Drosophila melanogaster: one gene and its partners. The protein of the gene in region 2 interacts with the protein of the main gene of each other region in a pairwise test. Each region holds a gene or a part of one and is shown on either strand. Other genes may lie near its edges. The genes, in order: CG5662, Taf12 and Alg13.

The links.
Region 1: the proteins of Taf12 (region 2) and CG5662 interact in a two-hybrid assay, tested with the Drosophila melanogaster proteins (one large-scale study listed by BioGRID).
Region 3: the proteins of Taf12 (region 2) and Alg13 interact in a two-hybrid assay, tested with the Drosophila melanogaster proteins (one large-scale study listed by BioGRID).

The regions. Positions count from the first base shown.
Region 1 is NC_004354.4:15,208,488-15,211,990, reverse strand, and holds CG5662 (uncharacterized protein), read right to left. Parts: upstream 1,606-3,503; 5' UTR 1,536-1,605; coding exon 657-1,535; 3' UTR 524-656; downstream 1-523.
Region 2 is NT_033777.3:11,678,030-11,681,788, forward strand, and holds Taf12 (TBP-associated factor 12), read right to left. Parts: upstream 1,662-3,759; 5' UTR 1,538-1,661; exon of another isoform or gene 1,370-1,537; 5' UTR 1,185-1,369; coding exon 915-1,184; intron 844-914; coding exon 523-843; 3' UTR 357-522; downstream 1-356. Other genes in the region: Ho (heme oxygenase), read left to right, coding at 1,842-1,998, 2,055-2,560, 2,616-2,843; CG6830 (uncharacterized protein), read right to left, coding at 2,959-3,173, 3,234-3,600, 3,656-3,759. UniProt on the Drosophila melanogaster protein: TFIID is a multimeric protein complex that plays a central role in mediating promoter responses to various activators and repressors.
Region 3 is NT_033777.3:29,137,470-29,140,732, forward strand, and holds Alg13 (Alg13 UDP-N-acetylglucosaminyltransferase subunit), read right to left. Parts: upstream 1,105-3,263; 5' UTR 1,058-1,104; coding exon 542-1,057; 3' UTR 501-541; downstream 1-500. Other genes in the region: Vha100-1 (vacuolar H[+] ATPase 100kD subunit 1), read left to right, coding at 1-54, 115-217; superdeath (suppressor of ER stress-induced death), read left to right, coding at 1,273-1,294.

The DNA of each region.
Region 1 (3,503 bases), on a different chromosome or scaffold from region 2:
TCCCTGATTGTCCGAACGATGCGGCCATGTCACACGGGTTAGCCGGAGTACTGAAGTCCCGCAGACCCGTAAACTCTTCTCCCAGGGAACTCTGCATTGAGATTGGTGACTTTGGGCCAGTCATAAAATCGAACCTACAAGTCGAGGGCGAACTTAAATTGAATGCCAGCCCGCGCCGAAAATACTGCCTAGTACACTCGAAATATAAAAGAGGCCAATTTTTTCGCAATAAAAAAATTAGATTTTTATGACTCGCCAGTAATGACTCCACATTTAGAAACTATAATTGCAAATTTGTAAGTGTAAACTTCATTATTACCGGGATTATTCTAAAATGAATATCTAATTTAAAAATTGCAACAATCATTTATTTTGGATTTACTTGCTTTCTATTTGTTTGATTTCTTTACTTTATTTTTTCAGTGTTAAATGCCTTGTCTGTTGCTGTATTTTATGGCATTGTGCGCTGGCTTAACTCTGGTTCAAGTTTCCCCGTGCCACACCCCATGCAAAACCCACTCTTCCTCCGACTTGTCTGCCGTTTTTATTGTAAATGCTTTGCATATTTTTGATTGCCTTCCCGACCCTGGCCAAATAAAAAAACAATAAGAATCCTTTGTTCCGGGGCAGAGGGATTCCGAGTCCTGCCCTTTCCTTTATTCTATTTTTTCCAACTCCATCTCGTCCTCCTGCTCCTCCACCGCGCTGGTCAGGAGTTTGCCATCAAACAGGCTCTGATCGATGCGGCGACAGTGGGCCAATAGACGTGGATATGTGGCCAGAACCGCGGCCAGTTCCATGTTGGGAAGCTTGGTGGTCATTATGGCTACCACATGGCCAAAGACCAGGGCGTCCAATTTGCAAGGTCGTGAGCCGCCGAAATAGCTCTTCGCCTGGTCCTCCTCCAGTTCAGCGATCAACGCATCGGCACAGATGCTCACCTCCTGGATTACCTGGTCGTTGTCCAAATCCTGCCACCGGTAGACCTTCAGTATCTTCTGTGCGTCCTTCTGCTTGGCAAACCGGCGAATCGTACTCAACGGCCACGGATGAGCGGCTGCACAGCGCGTTGCCGTGTAAAGTTGATAGTTTACCTCATCCACAAAACTCATATGAATCTCCGCCAGGGTGAAGACATTCTCCACATAGCTAACCAGACAGCGGATGTTATCGCGCTGATCCTCGGACATCCAACTGTCCAGGCAATTGCCGCCTTGCACGGCCTCCACTTGGGCCACTATTGGCTCGAATTCCGCAAAAGTCTTGACAGGGCCCAAACGGAGCAGCGGCAGGTGGGTCAACCGGCCACCTGGTGACATAAACTCTGCATTGTCGCTGATGTGCTCCGTAAATGGTAGGTTGCACATGCGCAAAAACGTCTTCACCGCCAGGCAGCTGGAGCGCTCCGGCAACAGGAGCTGATTCGCCTCGGCCGGCTGATGCAGGTGGGCGTCCGCCGGCCACGCCTCCTCCGACTTGCCCTCCTCCGCCGACGACTGCATCAGGGCGGCGGTCAAGTTTTGTTCCAACTCCATGCTTAAAGTGCCGAAAATTTTGACTGTGGGTTTCTTTTTATGGAATTGTTGAAGTGACAATTGTGGCAGTGATGGCTATATTAATATTTTCATATATTGTGAGAAAGAATTTTTGTTTACGTTTCATCAGTCAACTTTTGAGTACATTACTGCTAGAATTCGGAATATTATAAATGGGTTGCAAATAAATGTTAAATAAAAAATAAAGAATCTTAAAAGCAAATTCTTCCACAATTCAAATAAAATAAAAGTAATGCATTGTAAACTTACATATATGACTTTATAAATTTCAATAATAAACGCTGTAATTCCCACCTAATTAATATGACAGGAGCCAACAATTATTGACGAAACTTACCTAATTTTCGTGTCTGATTTATTTCATAATTTTATATTTCCAGAAATTTCCCTTGAACTTGTTTACTTTCAGTTATGTCTATCCATTGATTGTTTTTTGTTCATGCGTACAAGCAGTTGTTAAGTGAAAGCAAATATATGGCATTTAAGCATTTAATTAGTCTGCAATGAAAGGCATTGAAACTTGAAATGTGCAATTAGCAACGAATAAATGTGAAAGCAAATAAACTATACTCGCAATTAGGCAAATAACTTGAAATCAAACTGACAGAGAGCAATATTCCTACATTGGACTTAAAGAGCTGTCTGCCTTCGTTTCATCGTTGACAGGATTCACTTTTCCACAGAAAAATCAGTTGTGTGCTTTGATGATGGAAATGTTTTGTGAATTTTCTGCTCGACTGGACATTCAAGCAATTAATCATCGGCCACCGCCCTTCCACATTCCATTGGCACCCCCACCAAAAAGGTTTCGGCCCACTCGCCGCCAAATTTTTTTTCTACTACCGCCCGCTGGTTTTTGGCCGACAGCCTCGCGGGAACTGGAACTGAGGATGATAAATTGCTCGGGCGGAGCATTATGCACAGTTTTGTGGCTCCTCTGATCCAGGACTCGAGTGCTTCCGGAAATGAGGCAAAAGTTTTGGGCGCTCTCTATTCGAACGTTTCATGGATCATCAGGTACGAGAAGCTGGCGGGCTCTCCATGATTGCTAATTGAATGGCCTTGATGATACAATACATCGCTACACGGAAAGAAACTCGAAATACTGCACCAAATCGAAAGTTCTAATTTAACAAAGAAACACTTTAATGAAATATCGAAATAATAATTAAAATAATTAATAATAATTAAGCCCGTTTACCATTTGTTTTGTATTGAAATGTTTATTTTAAAACATTTTATTATACTTCTAGGCAATGCTATTTGAAATAACCAATCTGACTTGCGTTGACAGCTGTGAAAATTGCGAGCTTCGATTGACGGATTATCCCATTTTGGGCGGACGCCTTGGACCTGATTAGTATGCCCGCGAAGTTCGAAAGCCGAGACTAATTTAACGCCAAGTAACGAATTTTGGATGAGAGTTTTTGATTTACCAGCCACGTTACTGGGAAATGAAAGAGTAAATATACGAGGGCCGTGGCGTTGTCGTTGATTGATTCGGTCGAGGGCTACTGGGAATTCCGTCCAATCCATTGACAACCAAGTCGCAAAACACTGCCAAATTAATTAAGCCACACAGAGTAGGCACTTCGGAACCGAACCAGTGATATCTAGCCATTGTGGGTTAAGGATTCACGATGCTCGGTATGCTCGGGATGGCAAGGATGTTGGCCTGGTTGAGACATCGTTTCGGCAACAAAAGCCAACAAAAGGCAACAATTCTTACCCACTAATAAAGAATAATATGACTGCCATAAAACTCAATTTATTACCAAAATGTCGACAAGCAGCAGACTTTTGTGCGTATATGTGCCACTGTGTCTTATTCGCTTTCTCCTTTCTTATTTTGTGTGTGTGTGTGTGCGAGAGTTACGACCTACGGAGAAAGGAGGTGAAAGCAGAACGAATGACGTACGGAAGTGGCAAACAGCAAAAGTTTATGCT
Region 2 (3,759 bases):
GTTTTGGCCAATTGAAAGCTTTTTTAATTTTAAATCAACAATCAGAAAATCAACATTATTGATGGTATGACCTTGATGCGAGAGATGGAAAATACCGTTCGGTCATTAAAAAAATACCACGTTGTTAAAAAATACAGCAATTAATTGGGTGCGTTCAGCAGAGTCCGCTAATTATTTTCAAAGGGAAATATTACACAAATATTTTTAAAATAAACTGAAGAAATTGTTAAATTATGAAAAATATAAATCAATATCCACCAGACAAACAATTAATACAAATATTACAGAACCATTAGAAACTGTGATTAAAAAATCACGACTTAAAATTTACTGCTGACGGTGACCAATTGTTGAATGTGAAATCAATAGTGCACTTTTATTACAATAAATCTACAATAGAGCGACGATAATTTGTTATTTAATCTAAATTGGAGCTTAAATTAGTTTGTGGCGTGTGCACGTTTAGCATACGCGAAATCCGGCAAACCGAAACAGAGCCTCGACCCGATTAGATCCAATCCTCTAGTATTTCTTGATCGTTTTCCGTATGAGGGCAAGGCGCTGTTTGTGCGCCTCCGTGACAGCTGCCCGCTTGTAGGGACGCAGTTCGTCCGTACCGAAGCCGGGTATCCACATGTTGTACTTCCGCTCAAAGTGCAGCTGCACGTCGCGCACCTCGATCTTGTTAGACTTTCGGTGCTTGGCGAAGGCGCTCGTCGACTTGACGGTGTCCTCGACAAAGTCGTCGATGATCTGAAGCAGAAGCTCCTCAACATCCTCGTCCAGCTGCGTGGTGGTATCCACCTCTCGGACGAGCTCTGTGAGACGCGGTTTGGTAAGCATCTGTAATTCGGAAGAGAGTTAAACTAGACCCTGGCGTATTCCGTGTGCACTCCATAAGGCACGCATCTTACGGGAGTGTTCTCGGAACCGGCGGCGGATGATGTGTGATTGGATGACTTGCTACCACCAGATATGGGGCCCGTTCCCGTACCCAAACCGGAAACCGGTCCGCCGTTCTGCGAGGATGAGTTGCTGTTGTTGGTCATCGGACTGTGCTGGGAGGGCGAGGCCATGGGTGGGTCGTGGAGCAGTCCGCTGGCGGACGATGTGGAGTTGTGGTTGTGGTGCAGGTGGTGCTCGGCGACGCCGTTGCTATCGAAAGTGGTAAAGAGATCCGACATTGCTTTTGGGTTTCTTCAGAGTCAAATCAAGTGGGTGGTAGGTCGGTTGGTTGGAAGTGTTTGGGGAAAGTACAGTAAGTTGGGCGGATTTTTGGGGAGTGGGTAAGAGTGCAGAACCAAAGCCAAAAGCGTTAGTGTACTTGTTGTTGTTGCTGCTTATGTTGTGTGTCCTCCTGCTTTCTCAACTGCAGTCGGTGATTGTGTGTGCGTGGGTGTTTGGTTGCAAAGCGAAATGTAAGTAAAAGAATAGAGTGGTCAATTTCACGCGTGCGGTCTTAAGAATCCGTCGCTTTGTGTGTTTACTAAAACTAAAGTGTTACTTAGCAGTTGCTCTTAGCGCATGCAACACTTACAATTATTGCGGTTTTAACACTTTGATCTTAAACTATTACTTTCCTAAATTACTAAACAAAATAAAAATAAGCGGAGCAACTACAGCCAAATCAACAGTATGGCCAGTTGCAGGCGACTCTGAAATGCCCGCTGGTGCTATAAAGCAATTTGGTATATTTACGTTTAATTTCAGTATATTTTAGTTAGACAGCCACACTGGCGTGGAGTTCAAAACAAAACAAAGACGGCGTATTTTGCAAATATCACGTAGATAAGGAATATATTTTACTTTGTAATTGGGAACAATAGCTGCGCAAAAGAAACATGTCAGCGAGCGAAGAAACAATAGCGGACAGTCAGGTCTCCGAGAATGTGGAGGATGTGGAATTCGTAGACATGGCGTTCACAAAGGAGTTGCGTAAAGCCACAAAAGATGTGCATAATCTTACTGATGTTCTAGTGAATGCAAAGATCGCACTTGGTTCGTTAATTACACGATATTATTAGAAGTTATTAGATATTCCTCTTCTTCCATAGCCCTTTCTGATGACGAGGTCTGGTATGATGGACTCCTGGCCTTCTACGAACTGTACAAATTCTTTGAGACCCATCTGCCGGAGCGCCTGCTGCCCAAAGAATTCCACAGAACAGCGGCATTTGAAAGGGATTTTGCCTATTTCTACGGTTCCGATTGGAGGAAGGACTACGAAATTCGCCCGGCGGTCCAGAAATATCTCGAGCATCTGGAAAAGATTGCCGCACAGAACGAACTCTTGCTGTTCGCCTACTCCTATCAGATGTACATGGCTTTGATGTCCGGCGGACAAATGTTGCAGAAGAAGCGTATGATCGCTCGTAAAATGTGGATCTTTTCAAAGAACGATGACGAGGAGCAGCAGAAGCAGGCCGACAAGGAGGCAGAGTTGGCCACCGCCAGAGCTGCCGATGGCTCTGTAGACAAAGACGACTTGGAGGCCAGGCCAATGCCTGCCCAGGTTACCATTTGCCCGCCGGGATGTGAGGCCACATATTTTCCTGAGAAGGTGCGTAGCTTTTTACTTTGTTCCTTATATCTATTGTCTTTATATCCACTTTCAGATCTCTGTCTTAAAGGCCAAACTAAGGCGCGTTTTCAACAATCACTACGGAGCTTTTGACGATGATTTGCGTGCTGCTTTTATTGAGGAAAGTCGCAACGTATTTCGCTTAAATATAGAAGTAGTACGGACCATCAAAGGTGTGAATCGTGCCAATCTTAGGAAGCTGGCCCTCGCACTAATCTTTGTTTCAAGTATTGTAGTGGCCGTGAAATTTGCTCTCAAGTAAGAAAAGTAGGAAATACAAATGTAAGCTCTCTTGAGCAAGTTAGAATTGTGATCACACATTTATTTAGTCGTTTGTTAAATAGTAAATAACCTGAAATTTGTCTGAAGTAAAGTATTTATTGGGAATGTCCGTTGGCAAAATTATCAAGCAGTCCTCGTCTATTTATCCATGGCATGACACGCTCTATATTGGCCCTATAACGTTCGTTGCTAAACATTGCCTCCCTCAGGGATTTGCCATTCTCTTCATTTCCCAAAAAGCTATCAGTGGTAAAGTCATCGGTTGTCTTGTTAAGACACATCGACAAGGTAGTGAGCACAGTTCCAGCAGCTTGAAGAAAAACATGTCAGTCAGAGGAATTTAAAAACCTCAAATCCTTCTGTAAATTACCAAAAATGGGGTGCTGTATCAGAATGGCGTGCAGTTCCTTTAGCGAGGGAATAAATCCGTTGTAGTTCAACAGCTTGGCGTGCTCCTTCATGTTTTGATGATACCATCGGATAAGGTAGTCAAACTGATCGACTTTGATGTCCAGTTGAGTGGAGCTCATTATGAAGTAATACAGATCCTGGGCAGGATTTCCATACTTCGTGACTTGGTGATCCAACAGGAGGGTTTCCTTGACGCGACCATCTGATTCGTATTGGAACATGATGTTATTTATCCAGGCATCACCATGATTGAGCACATTAAACGCTTGTTCATTTATTTTGGCATCTTCAAGTATTCTGTCGACATACGTATCCAAGATCTCTGGCTGCAAAATATGATTTTGTTAAGTTAGTTACAAGGAATAAAGTAAAGTGACTTACCATTTTGTGCAAGTACTCATCCACACCGTCAAACTTGCTCACTTCTTCTATAAAGGATTTCTTAGTGTTAACAAACATACCCTTAAATATAGGTGCCGTTTGCT
Region 3 (3,263 bases), about 17 Mb from region 2:
TCTGGTACTCATGGAGGGCTTGTCTGCCTTCCTGCACACCCTGCGTCTCCATTGGTAAGTCACCTAATCCTCGAGAAGTATGAAATGGTATCTAATTGAACGGCTTTCTCATAGGGTCGAGTTCCAGAGCAAGTTCTACAAGGGCCAGGGTTACGCCTTCCAACCCTTCTCGTTTGATGCCATCATAGAAAACGGAGCTGCCGCCGCCGAGGAGTAAATAAAGCGGAATATCGGTCAGAGCAACAACCAAAGCACGTTGAGAGTCTCATTGCGTTATATGAAATTAACTATCCAAATAAGTGGAATCTACCAGTTACAGTAACAAACATATATGTACGTTTTAATGTTTAATTGTCGTGAATTTATCTATGTATGTATATCGTATAGCCCCAGCAAACGTTAGATTGCTAACAATATTTAATGTTCTTCGTAGACGTTCTCCTGTTTATTAACTATACTTGTAAACTCAAATAAATAGAAAAGGCTAACCCCTTGGGGTTGGCACCAAAAGAAGCTTGCATTTGGGAATGCTTATTGGGAGTCAATGGGACATCAGCTGATTGATGGCGGAAACGAATTTGCTAAGATTTTCCGGTTTCGTTTCATAGGGCTTTAAGGCTTCAAAGTCCAGAGTAGCTAGCTGGGCATCCACGTCGGTAACTTTGCAGTAATACAGATAGTTTTCAGCGGCCAGTTGCTTGGCCAACTCCAGTTGATGATTGTCCATGAGCGTGTCATTTATCACAATGAGTCCAGGTTTCTGGTTATTTAGTATATCCATGCAAGTTCCGGCTCCCGCATGTCCAATAATTAGGTCTGCGGACTTGATGTCCTCCGTATTTGGCCGGAAATTGTACTGCTCTATCTGGATTCCGTAGTTTTTTCTTATCAATTGTATTTCATCGTCTGTTAATGGTTGCGAATTTCCGTGCTGTATGACGAGTTTGGTGCATTTCCGGTTCTGTAGAGCTTTGAGTGCGGGTTCCGTGGATGCAGTTGATATTAGAGCATCGAATTTGGTGGTACCAACGGTAATGTAAACAGTGTTCAAATGCATTTTCTGTAAATAGTTAAACAACAAGACACAGCTGTTACGAGTTGTGCTTCCTCTTCGCCTTTGCCATTCAGCCGGCGTAACTCATACGACGTTCAAATAAATGGCAGCCTGGAAGCTCGAAACACCGGCCATAACCGTTACTTTATCTACTAGGAGTGCAGTAAATAAGTAAAAAGAGTAGTGAAATAGTTTTAAGCAATACTTGTTTAAGCAAAATGCTTAAATTCAATTTTAAACGTAAGTATTCCGCTTTCACAGCGCTCAGTTTATTTTGCTCTCACGCAGCCAAAGTGCGAATTTGGCGCACGCGATCGCCATCTCGCTCATTGTGCTTCCATTCCATTTCCATCGCAGCTTGTTTATTCCGCTTATTCAGTTCTCAACCGTTAGCCGTTACGGTTGTGCCCGCGCTCGTCGGGAAAATACGCGAAAGAACTGTGCTCCGTTTAGTGATAGTCCCTTGGCAAATTGCATTTTGATTAGTTTGGCAGCTCGGCCTTAGTACAAGTGATTTGTTTACATTTAATTCAATTAATTAGGCGTCTGCCAGGCTGCCAACAGTGTGTGCGCGCTTGTGTTGGTGACCGACCACAAATCAGTGTCGCGCCAGCGTAACGGTAAAGGTGCGAAAGAGTCCGACAAACGGTTTTCCAGGACGGAGGTGAAACGGTAAATTAAATTATTCCCACGTTTCGAATGCTGCGTATGTGTGTGTGTGGGCGATTTGTGCGTGTGTGTGCACTGAGAAAAATGCACTGGCATGGCGATCATTTTGCACCACCATTAAACTAAAAATATAAGTACATTAAACGATTTGAGCACATTTCTTTTTGTGCAGTGAAAACGCTTCAAGTACTTAATTATCCTAGGTGCACAAGTAATACAACAATTTTAATATCCATTTGCCATGTGCGTTTCGCTTTGATATTTCTTTCTCTGCTTGCCGGCTGCGGTTTGCACGTCGGAAGGTAATTGACTAATCAACACTTCGTTTAATTTCGTTTTTATATCTGCACCCTCCCCATTTGTTTATTTGGCAAACGCTTTTCAAGTTTGCCTGCCATCTGGCAGCGATTAAAATAAAAAAAAAACAAACACTTTTCTAGCCTCAAATGCTCGATATTACGAGAACAAGACGCTCACGCAGGACCCATAAATTAGCCAGCCAGAAACTTTCCTTTCCTTATGATCGCCAATTTATGGTGATCTCCCGCTTATTTACTAGTCAAATTTGCAGAAATCATCTGGTACTGCCCCAAAATTCAATTAGAGCACCCGTGCAAATTATCGAGTTGCCCAGCGATCGGTTATTCTATTTTTCCAACACCCCAGGCCCTCGGTTCCACCCTCCAGAATACACACCCACACACTTACACACGCGTGGACCATCACTCAACGGTCAATAAATTGGCGCTCTCTTTTTTTCTTGTTTTTGGTTTTGTTTTTGTTTTTGTTTTTGTTTTGATAGCGAGTAAAAGGCCGCGCGATTTAAATTTAATGTCTTAATTGTGGGCGTGTGAAGAACCAATATTTACTTGTCTCCGCTGTCTCTTGATTCCCTTTTGCTTCCCATATCACCCCCCCCCCCACAACTTTCCCAATGATTTGTCAATATTCGCTTTCCCACTCGCAGGCGTTCATGTCCTTGTGTTTATTAACTGTCTGCACTGTGAGAAAACCGTACATTCTAGTCCTATAAAATTGGTTCCACTGATCAAAATGAAAAGGTTCACTTTAAGCAAAGTTACATATGTCCGATCTAATTAGTTAGGAATTTTGAAGATTTCCAGCAAATAATGCGTGAATCGAAGTGTACTAGCCTTATCCATCGCCATATGCTGACACATCGCCAGCGGCTTACACGCAGTTTATCAATGAAATATTGCTATAAATTGGATCCCCAACGAGCGCGAGCGACCCAGGGATACGGACCCCATGGAGGCGGGATGGGATGGGCGGAGTGGGCTGAGGCGGATGGAGGCGGCGTATCATTTGCAGCCTTATTTTAATGAAGGTCATCGAGCCAGCGACGGGGTTGACTTCTGTACATGGTTGTCGGCGTTTAATTGCAGCAATTTGCAAAAACAGCAGCAGCAGTAGCATCATCAGCCGAAGGAGAAAGAGCAGGGAGCTGCAGATGCTGCAAATGCTACAGAAGCTGATCAAATTAATGCCATAACTCAATTAGCCGGCGGGCGTATTTGCA